3 linked regions of the Cricetulus griseus genome follow. The protein of the gene in region 1 purifies or fractionates together with the protein of each later gene. This does not show direct contact. Links are inferred from orthologs where the notes say so. Each region holds a gene or a part of one and is shown on either strand. Other genes may lie near its edges.

Region 1 (3,642 bases):
ATTAATCAGGGATTAAAAAAAAACAGAAGTGCAATTTCTGGTCATAAGGTAGTTTTGCACATTTTGTTTTTTTAAGAAACGACCTAGTGGTTTCTTCAAGTGGGTATTCATCTGACAGCCCTACCAGCATTGGAAGTGACCCAGTTTCATTGTTCTTGAAGAATTTAGTAGTGCTTATTTTAGTGGTTTCATGCTAAACGCTGTAAGGTTAGCATGTTTTAGGAGAGTCTTAGTATTTTGGTCAATCTGGTAGTAACTCAAAGTTTTAAGTGTAATTTGTATTTTTAACCCAGGTGAACTTTCTGTTCGAATTTGCAGGCTTTCCCACCCCCCACCCCTGCCTTGCATATACAGTCTCAGTGTAAACATACAGGTGTCTGCTCAGTTTGCCGAAGCAGCGGAGAGGTGGGGGCTTAGAGCTTTTGTAGTCTGGACTCTTAAAAATTTATTATTAGAAATAATCATTTTTAAAGATTTGGTTTTTTTTTAAGTTTTTTTTGTGTGTGACATATGTGTGCATTTGTGCATGCGAGTGCATATGTGATGTGTGTGACGTGTGTGTGTGTGTGTGTGTGTGTGTGTGAGTACACGTGTGATGTGTGTGAGTGTGTGTGACGTGTGTGACTGTGGATGTGTGTGTGACTGCATGTGTGATGTGTGTGACGTGTGTGTGTGTGTGTGTGTGTGTGTGTGTGTGTCATGAGCACAGGTGCCTGTGGAGGCATGGATCCCCAGCGCTAGAACTGCAGGCAGCTGTGAGCCTTCCCCGTGTGGATGCCGAGAGCCAAGTTCAGGCCTCTCTGCAAGAGCAGCCAGTGCCCATGATCTCTGACCTCTGTCCAGCCAATACTTTGATTTATTGTGCTTTTTTGATGGTTAGGATATTTTTATAAATACTTTTCATTTTAAAAGCTCCAATGTATAGTTTATTACTGTTCACTTTGTTTGGCCTCTGGGAGCTGTGCTAGCCTCAGACACCTTGCATACCCATTGCCATTTTCTTCTAGCAGGGCTGTGGGTGGACCCCTCCTGCTTTATTTCATAGATACTTATTCACATGGGGAGATCATGGTAATGTCTTCCTGAGGAAACCGTGTTGACGTGCTATTCCTAAAGTGGAGGACTAGTCCTGTGGCATTGGGTGGGACTCTGCTATACCACTCCCCTTTTCCTACCAAATAAAGCACCCATTCAGCATTCAGTGCTCACAGATAAGCGTGCACCCCCTGTGGCTCTTCTCCTGTTGTCACTGCTAGACAGCTGTTAAACCTGTTAGTCAGCTGTTAAATGACATGCTTATTTTTATCTCTCGTATTAACAGGTGACAGTTAAAGGATTTGAACCTTTAATTCAGTTTGCCTACACTGCCAAACTCATTTTAAGTAAAGACAATGTTGACGAAGTTTGCAAGTGTGTGGAGTTTTTAATTGTGCACAATATCGAGGAATCCTGCTTTCAGTTTCTCAAGTTTAAGTTTTTGGACTCCACTGCAGAGCAGCAAGAATGTGCCAGAAAAAAATGCTTCTCCTCACACTGTCAGAAAGCAGACTTTAAAATTTCACTCTCCGACCAGAAAGATCTAGAAATCGATGAGGCAGAGGAGTTCTTGGAAAAGAAAAGTGTTCAGACTCCTCAGTGTGACCCCCAGAGGTGTCAGCGCAATGTGAAAGCGTCACCCTCTCTCCAAGACAGTGCCAGCCAGACGTGCCAGTCCATATGCTCGGAAAAGGATGGCACCCTGGCGCTGCCATCTCTATGCCCCAAATACAGAAAATTCCAGAAAGCGTTTGGAACTGACAAGATCCGCACCCTAGAATCCGGCCTCAAAGATGTCCACGCTGCTTTTGTCCAACCCAATGAGACATCTGACCTGGAGTGTGTCGGGGGAGCACAAGGTTGCGCAGACTTGCAAGTGATTTTAAAATGTGAAGAAACGAAGCCAGCCATGGAGAGCGAGGAGACGAAGCGCAGAGACCCCACCTCTCGGGGCCCCACGGCGCAGAGTGGCGAAGTGGCTCCCTTCCCGCACAATTCTGCAGACCCTCACGGGCTCTACTCCCTGCCTCTCTTACACACATACGACCAGTCTGGTGACATGGGCTTCACTGGGGTGCAGAGTAAAACAGTGAAAACAGAAAAGCCTTTGCCAGGTGCGGATGCCCAGGAAGAGAAGCCGTTTGGTGAAAATCCCGATTTGTACCTGAAATCTGACGCGGGCCCCAAAGAAGACAGCAGCAGCCTTGCATCCGGCGATCGGAGTAGTGTGGAGAGGGAGGTGGCAGAGCACCTGGCCAAAGGCTTCTGGAGTGACATTTGCAGCACGGACTCTGCTTGCCAAATGCAGTTGTCACCTGCCGCGGCCAAAGAGGGTTCAGAACAGGGCTGCTCGCAAAGGCGCTCCGAGTGCCCCTGGTTGGGTATCAGGATCAGCGAGAGCCCGGAGCCGGGCCAGCGGACTTTCACAACTCTCAGCTCCGTCAACTGCCCTTTCATCAGTACTCTGGGTTCCGAAGGCTGCTCCAGCAACTTGGAAATCGGAAACTACGATTACGTGACAGAGCCTCAGCAGGAGCCTTGTCCCTACGCTTGCGTGATCAGCCTGGGAGATGACTCTGAGACCGACACAGAAGGGGACAGCGAGTCCTGTTCGGCCCGGGAGCAGGAATGTGAGGTGAGTGTGCTCTCACTGTTGACACAGCCATTCCTTAAGAGGTGCACTTGGTGCCTGGCGCAGAGAGGAAGGAGAGCCTGCCACGACACCAGAGTGGTGATAGGGCATGTATGGGGTTCGAAGAACTGCTGTGTGCTTGCTTGTATTGCACATCGGTGTGTGTATAGATCATGGAGGTGACCCCCACACGGGCTGTCGGACTTGTGTAATCAGATGCCCCAGTAGGGAAAAACGATAGCAGTTCTGTCACTGGTGGTTAATGGTAACTTTTGGACGATGGCATCATATAACCTGTAGTGTTCATAGCCCCAGATCGTCAAACCCGAGAACAGTGTGTGGTCGTGAGCCATGGTTGGCTGTGAGGAGCTGCAGGCTTGTGGCATTAAAGGGATGTTTTCTTAGACCTAATTTTTCCAGATCTATTGCTTTTATTTATTACTTGATTTTTCTTTAGTCCTTTCAGGCATTAGTTTGATGGATATGCGCTACTGACTTATCAGTTGTATCAAGTTTGACTTGTGCAGTCAGTGTATATAAGTTTATATTTACTACTGCATCCCTGTACCCTGTGAGACTCTGATTTAGTGACAGAAAGTAGGGACTATGCAGCAAAGGTCAGCGTTCTCTTTATAGTGGCAGTTTTCACTTTGCTTTTATTAGTAATTTTTAATCACACTCTTTCCCTTTGTATGCATGCTTTACTTGCTTCTGAAGTTTGTGATGACAGGCGGCCTGGCCTTGGAAGGGTTCCTAAGTGCACAGTGCTGTGTTAGCTCTGGTTTTTGTATTAACACAGCGTATCTCTGTAACTTGTTTTTGTAATGAAAAGTCACTGAACACCTGTTTCCCACTCCCCTCCTCCCAGCCCGTGGCTTCAACATCCTAATGGTGCCCTTGGTTACCTGTTAACATTACCGCCTATAGTAGTCGAGATAATGTAGGAAATTTGGTTTATTTTACTTAGTGCGATG
Region 2 (4,157 bases), on another chromosome or scaffold:
TGGTTTGACCATTACCAAAACAAGATCAACCTCTATGGGCATCGGGGTGTGGATATGAAGCCTTCCTTACTCCTTGGTGCTCTTAGGCTGGGGATGAGGCCAAAGGCTCTAACCACATGGAGTCCCCACGTGTCGTATGGTCTACCGGATTCCTTCACTAGTTGAGCACCTATTTGCCAGGCATGGCCTCAGCTCTTTAAAAGGTAGGAAAGTGGGGGTGAACAGGAGAGACAGCTCATGACTGTGTGCTTCTAGAGTTTGAGAACATTAGTTCAGAGGCCAGACTTTAAACAATTCTTATTTATAACTTTTATATGTAGCTTAAACTCATTTGTTGTGTGTCTGTGTGTGAGTGCATACATGCCACTGTAAGTATGTGGCGGTCAGAGGACAGCCTTCAGGAGTCGGTTGTATCCTTCCATGTGTAAATTGTGGGACCAAACTCCAATTGTCAGAGTTAGTGACAGGCACTTTTACCCACATGGTGGAGGCAGGAATCACTTGGGCAAGTGGAGGCACAGTTGAAGATCCAGGTCCCATAGGTACAAACAGAAACGGCATTTAAAACCACGAGACTGGATGAGCTCATCCGGGCAAAGGGTGTCGATCGAAGAGAGAAGAGTCCAGTGAACTGTAAAGTGAAGCGACATCTCCCCTGCCACTCTCGAGAGGTGTCACGTGAATGCATCCAGAGGACAAAGTCTGGAGGCTACTGAGAACCCAGGAAGCTCTGGCTGTGGGCCCCTAGAGCGGGGCCCACTAGGGGCGGGGTCTCACTTTGGCTGTGGGCGTGGCCTTGGCTCGGGCCGCAGCTCTGGGACCGGCCAGCGGCCGGGGCGATGACGTCAGTGCATGACTGGGTTTTTATGAATGAAAGGAATCCTGTGCGTGAGTAATTCCGGGAAGCTCGCCTTACAACTGCGCGCGGCTCCGGCCCCCTGCGCCGCCCGCCTCATAACAAAACTCCGAGCGGCGCTACGCGGAGCCGGGTTCCTAGTGAACCGCGGTCCCAGTTGGAGAGGAGTGGGGCTTGAGAGCGGCCTGGGACCGCCACCGCGACAGCTGCGGGGACAGCTGCGACAAGCGCGCACGTAGAGTCGGGCCTGGCAGAGAGAGGTAAGGACGCGTCAGGGACCGGGACCGCGCCTGGGGTGAGCGCTCCGGGTTGTGCCTGGGCCGCGCTGTGGGCGCCCCCGTGCATCTGCCCGCCGAGGGGCCTCCGAGGGGCTGGCTGGGGGACGGTTCGCGGGCCCCGGAGGAAGCCGGGGCGGGGCGGGGGGCGGGAGGCGGGGCGGGGCGTGCACGTACGTGACTCGGTGAGAACAGTCCTGGAGCCCGGCCCAGCACCGTGTGTGCGCGGTTTGTTTACGTCCCCCGGCAGCGGGGCGTGCGCGTGTGTTCTCTGGGGAGCGCCCTGGGTCCCACGGGCTGAGCGCGCACGGGGTACCTCTGGGTGTGTGTGTTTGTCTTTGGCCGCGCGCGCTCCCTGGAGACTGACACTAACCCGGTGTACCTTGAAGTGTGTGCACCGGTGTCCACTGGAGCAAATGCGGAATAAGGACCCGAGTGAAGGAAGTGGCCCAGTCGATGGTTACACCAGGTCTGGAATTTTTTTTTTCTCTCCCTCCTCCCCACCCTCCGCTATCCTCTCACTTCCCACCAGCCGGTACTGCCCGGCCCCAGTTGTCTCCGGAGTTTCCCCTGGTTGGAGCCATGTGACATCAGTGTTTGTTCCTCGCCCAGTGCGGGTGCCTGCAGCTTTAGGTAGAGCAGAAGTGAGCGAGCCAGCCAGCCGTCTCCTGGCCATCTGGTGTACCTGGTAACGAAGTACGTGGAAGTCCCTCTTTAGCCCCAGGTTTTCTGGCTCTGTATGGACTGTTCATCTCTGGACTGTCCCATTCCTCCGGTCCCAGGAGAAATAGAGAAGGCCAGAAAGGCCTTGGCAAAGATTGGGGAAGGCAAGGCTCCCAGGCTACAGTGGCTAGCCTAATCTGGATGTCTGAGGCTGCACCTGCTGGGTCCTGAAGGATGGAGTGAGGCTAATAGCCACACTTCTGGTAGTTTCAGTTCTCAGATGGAACTCGTTAGACTGGACCCCAGGACACACCTAGAGTCCACCCTGAACCAGCAAGATCAGCCGGCAGTATAACCCCTGGTCCTCCTTCGGGAAGGGTTAATGTGGGAGGGGAGCACAGCAAGAAAACACCTGCTTAGGCCAGCAACCTGAAGGACTGCTGGTTCCCGGAACACCATGGTCATACTCAAACTTTCCCTACTTGAGCGTTCTGGAATCCAAGGAGGTGGCAACTAAGCTTGTTAGGGGGCGGAATCAATGATACTTCAACTTTGAGCCAGTGAGTTCTGCTATCACTGTGAGAACTGCAGTGTCCCACCCCCATCTGCGGCAGGGTGGCAGGAGAGCTTAGTCCCTGGCAGCTGCAATGCACAGCCTGTTTACCAGGGGAAACTGGGAAGGCAGAGCCAACCCCAAGGCCTGCAAATGGAGTTGTGTGTAGAGTGGGTGGTTGAGGGGGCTGCAGCCAGGACCCTAGGATTTAGGTGGGTCCATCCTCAAAACTGATCAAGAAACACTCTCCAGTGGGGCTGGGGGGTTAGTGGTGAGGGGAAGTGGCTAACTGGCTCACTGACAGAGGGAAACTTAGCATGGAGAGATTCTGTTTCTCCTTGATCCCCAGGGGTCCATTAGAACCCAGGACCCCTAGGTAATGCCCCCCTTTTTAATGAGTGTCTGGTGCCAGCAGAGGTCAGAAGAGGGTCTTGGGTCCCTCAGAATTGTAGTTACCGATGGTTTTGAGCTATCATGTGGGTGCTGGGAACTAAATTTGGGTCCTCTGCAGGGGCAACAAGTGCTCTTAATCACTGGGCCATCTGTCCAGCTTACCTATTTTTTAAGGGAGGATTTATTTTGGCTCATAGTGTGAAGGGATGGGTATGTACTCACTGCAATAGGAAGGCCTGGTGAGAGCTGCTCACCTATGGCTGTGGTAGTGTGGGCTGCTGGCTCCCCTCTCACTGCACTGGGAAGCTTTGCTGACACTTAGCCTTTGCACAATGGCTGGGCTAGATGCTTAGGGTTGTAGTAAACAGACAGATCCACGGACCACATTCTGGGAAGGGGCCATGAAGGGGAAGTTACTTTGGCCTAAGTAGTAATAGGGCTCCTACTTAGCCAGGGTGATCATGGAAGTCTTCCCTGTGGAGGTGGCTAGGGAGTAGAGTTTGATGGTGCTGTGATTCTGGAACCCAGAGGACAAGGGCTGTGATTCCTTTTTGGCCATTCAGGACTCAACACAGGGCCTGGCACACAGTAGGTGCTTCTTGGATATGTGGATAGTTGAAGAAATGGGCAATGGGTCCATATCCCTGAGCTCCAGGGAAACAGAAAGCAAGACTGTGAACTGTAGGAGTCTTGCAGGAATTTCCCCCAAAATGAGCAGGTGGTGCAGGTAGCTTCTTCTTTCACACACAGAGCTGTGTTCCTTTTGGCCAATAGTCATTAGGAAATCCAATCTGCTCATTTGTTACTTATTAGCAAAAAGAATGCTGGGAGAGTGAAGTGAACATGTTATCAGCTGGGGGCTCCTTTGTGGGCTGGGACAGCTGAGAGCATGGGCTCTGTGGTTTTGATATTTTTTTCTAAAGATTGATCTAAAGTTCATTTTTATTTACATAGGTGTTTGTGCCTTAGTGAATTGATGTGTGCCATATGTGTGCAGATGGCTGTGGAGGCCAGAGGGTGTCAGATCCCTGGAACTGTAGTTACAGGTGGATATGATCCACTTGACTTGGTATTAAGGCCAGAACCAGGGTCCTCTGCAAAAGCAGCAGGTGCTCTTAACCACAGAGCCATCTCTCCAGCCCTATTTTTGTTTTTGTCTTATGTAGCCTGAGCTGGCTTTGAACTTCTGGTCTTTCTATTTCTGCCTCTTGAGGGCTGCCATCATGATGTATATGACCACACCTAACTAGCACAAGGACTTGAAACATGCCAAACATGGTCAAGTTTGTAGGTTTGTGCCTCTAGTGACCCTTTGATGCTATTGGAGATGGAGGTTGGGGCAGAGGAGGGAGTAAGGCAGTGGTGAGGCCACTGTGGTCTTGGTCTGGCTGGAAGAGGAAGTGGCCCCTAGCTGTGC
Region 3 (4,293 bases), on another chromosome or scaffold:
GCCTCCGTTTGTGCTTTTCCTGCCTTGGTTTACCTTAAGGATAGATTGTAACCTGGAAGCCAAATAAACCCCTCCCACTCTGCTCCCCCCCCCCAAACAAATACTAACTGGCTGAGTGTGTTTTCAGTCATTGTCCATGAATTAATATAAATTGTTCCAGAAAACTTGTATTTCCCACGATATTCCAATATACTATGATGCTTTTGCTTCATAGTCTTTCTTCAGCATTCTACTGTGGAACTCAGGCTCACCCAGAAGTCACAATATACTCTAGGCTCATCCTGAATCCATGAGCCTCTTACTTTAGCTTCCAGGGTGCTTAGATCACATGTAGCATGATGCCTAGCTTCAGTGTACCTTCCTTTATCTAGCAGTTTGTCCTCTTTGAAAGGATGGGCCAGGTGATAGACCCGGCTGCTTGCCAAATCCAAGGCAGTATGAATCCAGCTTTTCCATAGAAGTATCTCTTAGAAGAAGAGAGCAAAGAAGAATAGCCATATTTTCCGTATTTGGAGTGAAAACCAGTAGTATCCATTAGAGCCTGTCAGTGCAGTAAAGCCAAGCTTCGTGAGAGACACTTTCTCCCATTTCGGACTTCATAATTTTATCATTTTATAAATACAATAAACTGTAGGCTTTATAGAAACAGAGTTCAGGGCTTTCTTATGCTTGAACAATGAAAATCTGCCAAGTTACAACACAGCTGCCACTAAAGTGGACGACTATGTCGGAAGAGAATTTTAAATGTATCCATTTCATCTCTTTGATGTCCACTTTATTTTGGTCCCACATGTGTCTGAATCTCTTAACATAAAAATCTGTTCAGCTCCAAGCAGGCTTATCATAGCAGGAGATATGTACTCTTAGAAATGTGCTTGCTTATAATTAATATATATGTATTTCACTAACTCTCAAGAATTTCAAATAATCCCTTTTATCCATTATGAACTTCAAGTATTTAGAGATAACTATCTCATTATCTTGGACTTTTTCTCCTTCATATTAAATGTCTATTATTCCATCAGCTTTTCTTATGAGGCAGACAGTTGACTCCTTGTGTGTCTCAATTTTTTTTTTTTAGAACTCTAATCTGTTATCATTCTAGTTAAAATAAAATATCATTCTAGTTAAAATTCTAAAAAATTAGGACTATGAGACCATTATTAGAAAAGTCAGAGACCAGGCATTGGTGGTGTACACCTTTAATCCCAACACTTGGGAGGCAGAGGCAGGAGAATCTCTGAGTTCCAGGACAGCCTGTCTACAGAGTGAGTTCCAGGACAGTCAGAGCTGTTACACAGAGAGACCCTGTCTCAAAAACAAAAACAAACAACAACAACAAAATAAAAACAAATAAGAAAAGTCAGAGACAGTTGGGTGTTGGTGGCGCATGCCTTTAATCCCAGCATTCTGCAGGCAGAGGCAGGCGGATCTCTTTGAGTTCAAGGCCAGCCTGGTCTCCAGAGCGAGTGCCAGGATAGGCTCCAAAGCTACACAGAGAATCCCTGTCTTGAAAAAAACCAAAAAAAAAAACCAAGAAAAAAAAAAAAAGTCAGAGACAACAGATGATTTCCATGAAGTTAACCTTCTCTGCTGTTAAGGGTACAATTCATCTTTAAGCACAAAGTGGCTCCAATTGCTGGTTTGATTATTATTTTTCTTTCATGTTTTTCTTACCCATGTTGGCATCTTCTAACTTAAAACAATCAAATCAGCTAATGAAATAATGTGTTTCTGTATGGGGTTTTTAATACATTAAATAAAGCCTTGAAGCTTTTCAACTTCTGTATTTTCTAGTTAGCCATTTAGAATTCATAGGCCAATTCCAATTTTTTTTTCCCAGCCAATTCTCATTTACCTTCCAGATCTCAGTCGGGATATTGTTTCTAGCTTTTGCACAGTCCCAAAATCAGACTAGAAAAATCCTCATAGCATCTTCTATCTTTTGTACCAAAGAACTTCCCAGGCTTTCATAAGGATTTATTTACTTCATCTCCACATTAGACAAAACTGCTTGCAGGGAGCAGATCCATCAGGTCTACTGCTCTAGTATTTAAGCTTGTGGTGTGTTGAGAGGTATGAAAAACAAACTTGTTTGGGGTGTGGGATGAGGATTCAAACTCAGCTCTGTGTGACAAGCTACAGAAAACACTGTACCAGACGGTCTTTCTATGCAGCTCAGGCCACTAGGCCTGGAAACATCTATTTCTTAATGCTGAAAACATAAAAAATTCCTTTATCCTAACTTTTTGGACACTACCATCATCTACTGTCATTTACGGTGCCATCAGCACACCAAGTTCCAGTGTTCAGTCACTAAAACACTAAATATTACTTTAGGATTGTTTATAGAGAATGGAATTCTGGAGCAGCTGTTATTTCTTAACCCGAATGCAATGTCAAAACAAGAAAGAGAAATTCTAACGAAAGTAACATTTTTTTCTTCTTCAAGTACGAAAGGCCTGCCATTTCTAAACCCCTTCAACCAGCTATTAGCCTCACCATGGCGTTGACAGCTTGTTGGTAGACTTTCGCGTTTGAAGGCTCGATTTTACTCGGAGCCACATCCCTACACAGCACCCGCCAAGTGTTTACTGCATGTATTTTGAACAACAACAACAAAAAAAAACAAATGCCATCCCAACCCTAACCTGGGGTCCCGCCGACTGAGATAGGAGGGGCGAGGTCCCCTTCCCACCCTGCTCCGGCACCCGTACGCACCCGAAGGGTCATTGAATCTTTTCAGGGGCGCCTTAGGAAAAGACATTGTGTGTGACCACTGGATTGACGACGGCCACCGAACGCCTCAGCAACTGTCTGCTTGCTCGCCTGAATTCAAATTTACCCCACCGTCCCCGCCTCAGCGAATCAGAAGGCCTAAACCTAGCTGACGAATCCTGAATGGGCCAAGGAGCATGCGCGCTAGATTTGTACCACCGTCCAATCGGGAGGCCTGTAAGTTTAAGCTGATAGCCAATGAGAGACTGTTCCTGTTCGCCGCCGCTACGGCTCTATCCAGTGACATCTGGATTTGCTCAAGTGGACTCAGTTCGCGCAAGCGCATTTCGCAGGCGGCCCGTAGGAGAGTCCGTATTTCGGCGTCATACAGGATTAAAGGTCGCGAGCGCCTCTCTCCTTTGTTCCGGCGTCACCGTTCTTAGGAACATCCTAAGATGTTGACTTCGGTTCTTCCACACCAGGTCTCGCGAGTGTCCTAAATGGGCCCTGAAAGGGAAAGAGTTGCACGCTCGGCCGCTCCACCTTGGACTTTTGCGCATGTGCAGTGACCCCAAAGCGCCGAGGGCGAACTCTTGAGTCGCATCCCGCGTGTGCCGTGCTCTCTCTCTCTCTCTCTCTCTGAGCCTGGTCCGTGCGTGGCATCTGGAGAATGTCCGCCCCGTTTGAGGAACGTAGTGGGGTGGTTCCGTGCGGGACGCCATGGGGCCAGTGGTACCAGACCCTGGAGGAGGTGTTCATTGAAGTCCAGGTGCCCCCGGGCACACGCGCGCAGGACATCCAGTGCGACCTGCAGAGCCGGCATGTGGCTCTAGCCGTGGGTGGCCGCGAGATCCTCAAGGTAGCAAGCCAGGGCTTGTCCCCAGTTCCTTCTTTTGGCCTCCCCGCACCCCGAGTCCTAAAAATGCACGGTCTGAGAGGGATGACTGCTGGGTGGAAAGGTCAGTTCCTGGCTGGCGGAAAGAAAGCAGTAAACTGATCTGGCGAGGGGTCCCATCGTAGCACCCACTCCCAGATCAGACCTAGCGTGGACGTTAATATAAAGATTTCGTTTACTTCTTTTTCTAACACTGGTATGTGCTGCTTTAATTCCCCTGGGGTTCCTCTGCTGACAGAAGACTAACTAGATCAAAAGTACAGATGCATCTTCTGGGCACTGATCTGAGTCTCAGAGACTTTAGGCAGAAGGTTTGTGAATTCTTCATGATGTGTAGGCAAATACAGAAATAACAAACAGGGTTTGGGTAACAGATGAAGGTGATGTCAGATTGGCTTTCTAAATTACAAGTTTCTTGCACGTAGATGGTCATTAAGATAATGAAGAGGTGTGTGAAGAAAATAGTGCCTCTTTTATTTGATTCCACCAATATATTTTGAATCTGGCTATACCTTTTTTTGATCTTAAGAATTTTTAGAAGCCAGGCAGTGGTAGCACGCCTAGGCCCTTAATCCCAGCGCTCAAGAGGCAGAGGCAGCCAAATTTCTGAGAGTTCGAGGACAGTCTGGTCTACAAAGCAATTTCCAGGATAAGCAGGACTGTGTGCTTCATAGGAAAAC

What was found. Proteins that work in one complex are often made in the same cells at the same time.
Region 2: the proteins of Bach1 (region 1) and Maff purify together in Homo sapiens (affinity purification with mass spectrometry; 3 studies listed by BioGRID and IntAct, counting the BioPlex papers as one, with this or other methods). This does not show direct contact. The link is inferred for Cricetulus griseus from reciprocal best matches to the Homo sapiens genes BACH1 and MAFF.
Region 3: the proteins of Bach1 (region 1) and Hmmr purify together in Homo sapiens (affinity purification with mass spectrometry; 6 studies listed by BioGRID and IntAct, counting the BioPlex papers as one, with this or other methods). This does not show direct contact. The link is inferred for Cricetulus griseus from reciprocal best matches to the Homo sapiens genes BACH1 and HMMR.

The regions. Positions count from the first base shown.
Region 1 is NC_048597.1:9,660,131-9,663,772, reverse strand, and holds part of Bach1 (transcription regulator protein BACH1), read left to right. Parts: intron 1-1,321; coding exon 1,322-2,671; intron 2,672-3,642. UniProt on the Homo sapiens protein: Transcriptional regulator that acts as a repressor or activator, depending on the context. Binds to NF-E2 DNA binding sites. Plays important roles in coordinating transcription activation and repression by MAFK.
Region 2 is NC_048595.1:376,527,074-376,531,230, forward strand, and holds the start of Maff (transcription factor MafF), read left to right. Parts: upstream 1-1,312; 5' UTR 1,313-1,547; coding exon 1,548-1,600; intron 1,601-4,157. UniProt on the Homo sapiens protein: Since they lack a putative transactivation domain, the small Mafs behave as transcriptional repressors when they dimerize among themselves.
Region 3 is NC_048600.1:55,600,263-55,604,555, forward strand, and holds the start of Hmmr (hyaluronan mediated motility receptor), read right to left. Parts: upstream 2,846-4,293; 5' UTR 2,768-2,845; coding exon of another isoform or gene 2,734-2,767; coding exon 2,652-2,733; intron 1-2,651. Other genes in the region: Nudcd2 (nudC domain-containing protein 2), read left to right, coding at 3,389-3,577. UniProt on the Homo sapiens protein: Receptor for hyaluronic acid (HA). Involved in cell motility. When hyaluronan binds to HMMR, the phosphorylation of a number of proteins, including PTK2/FAK1 occurs.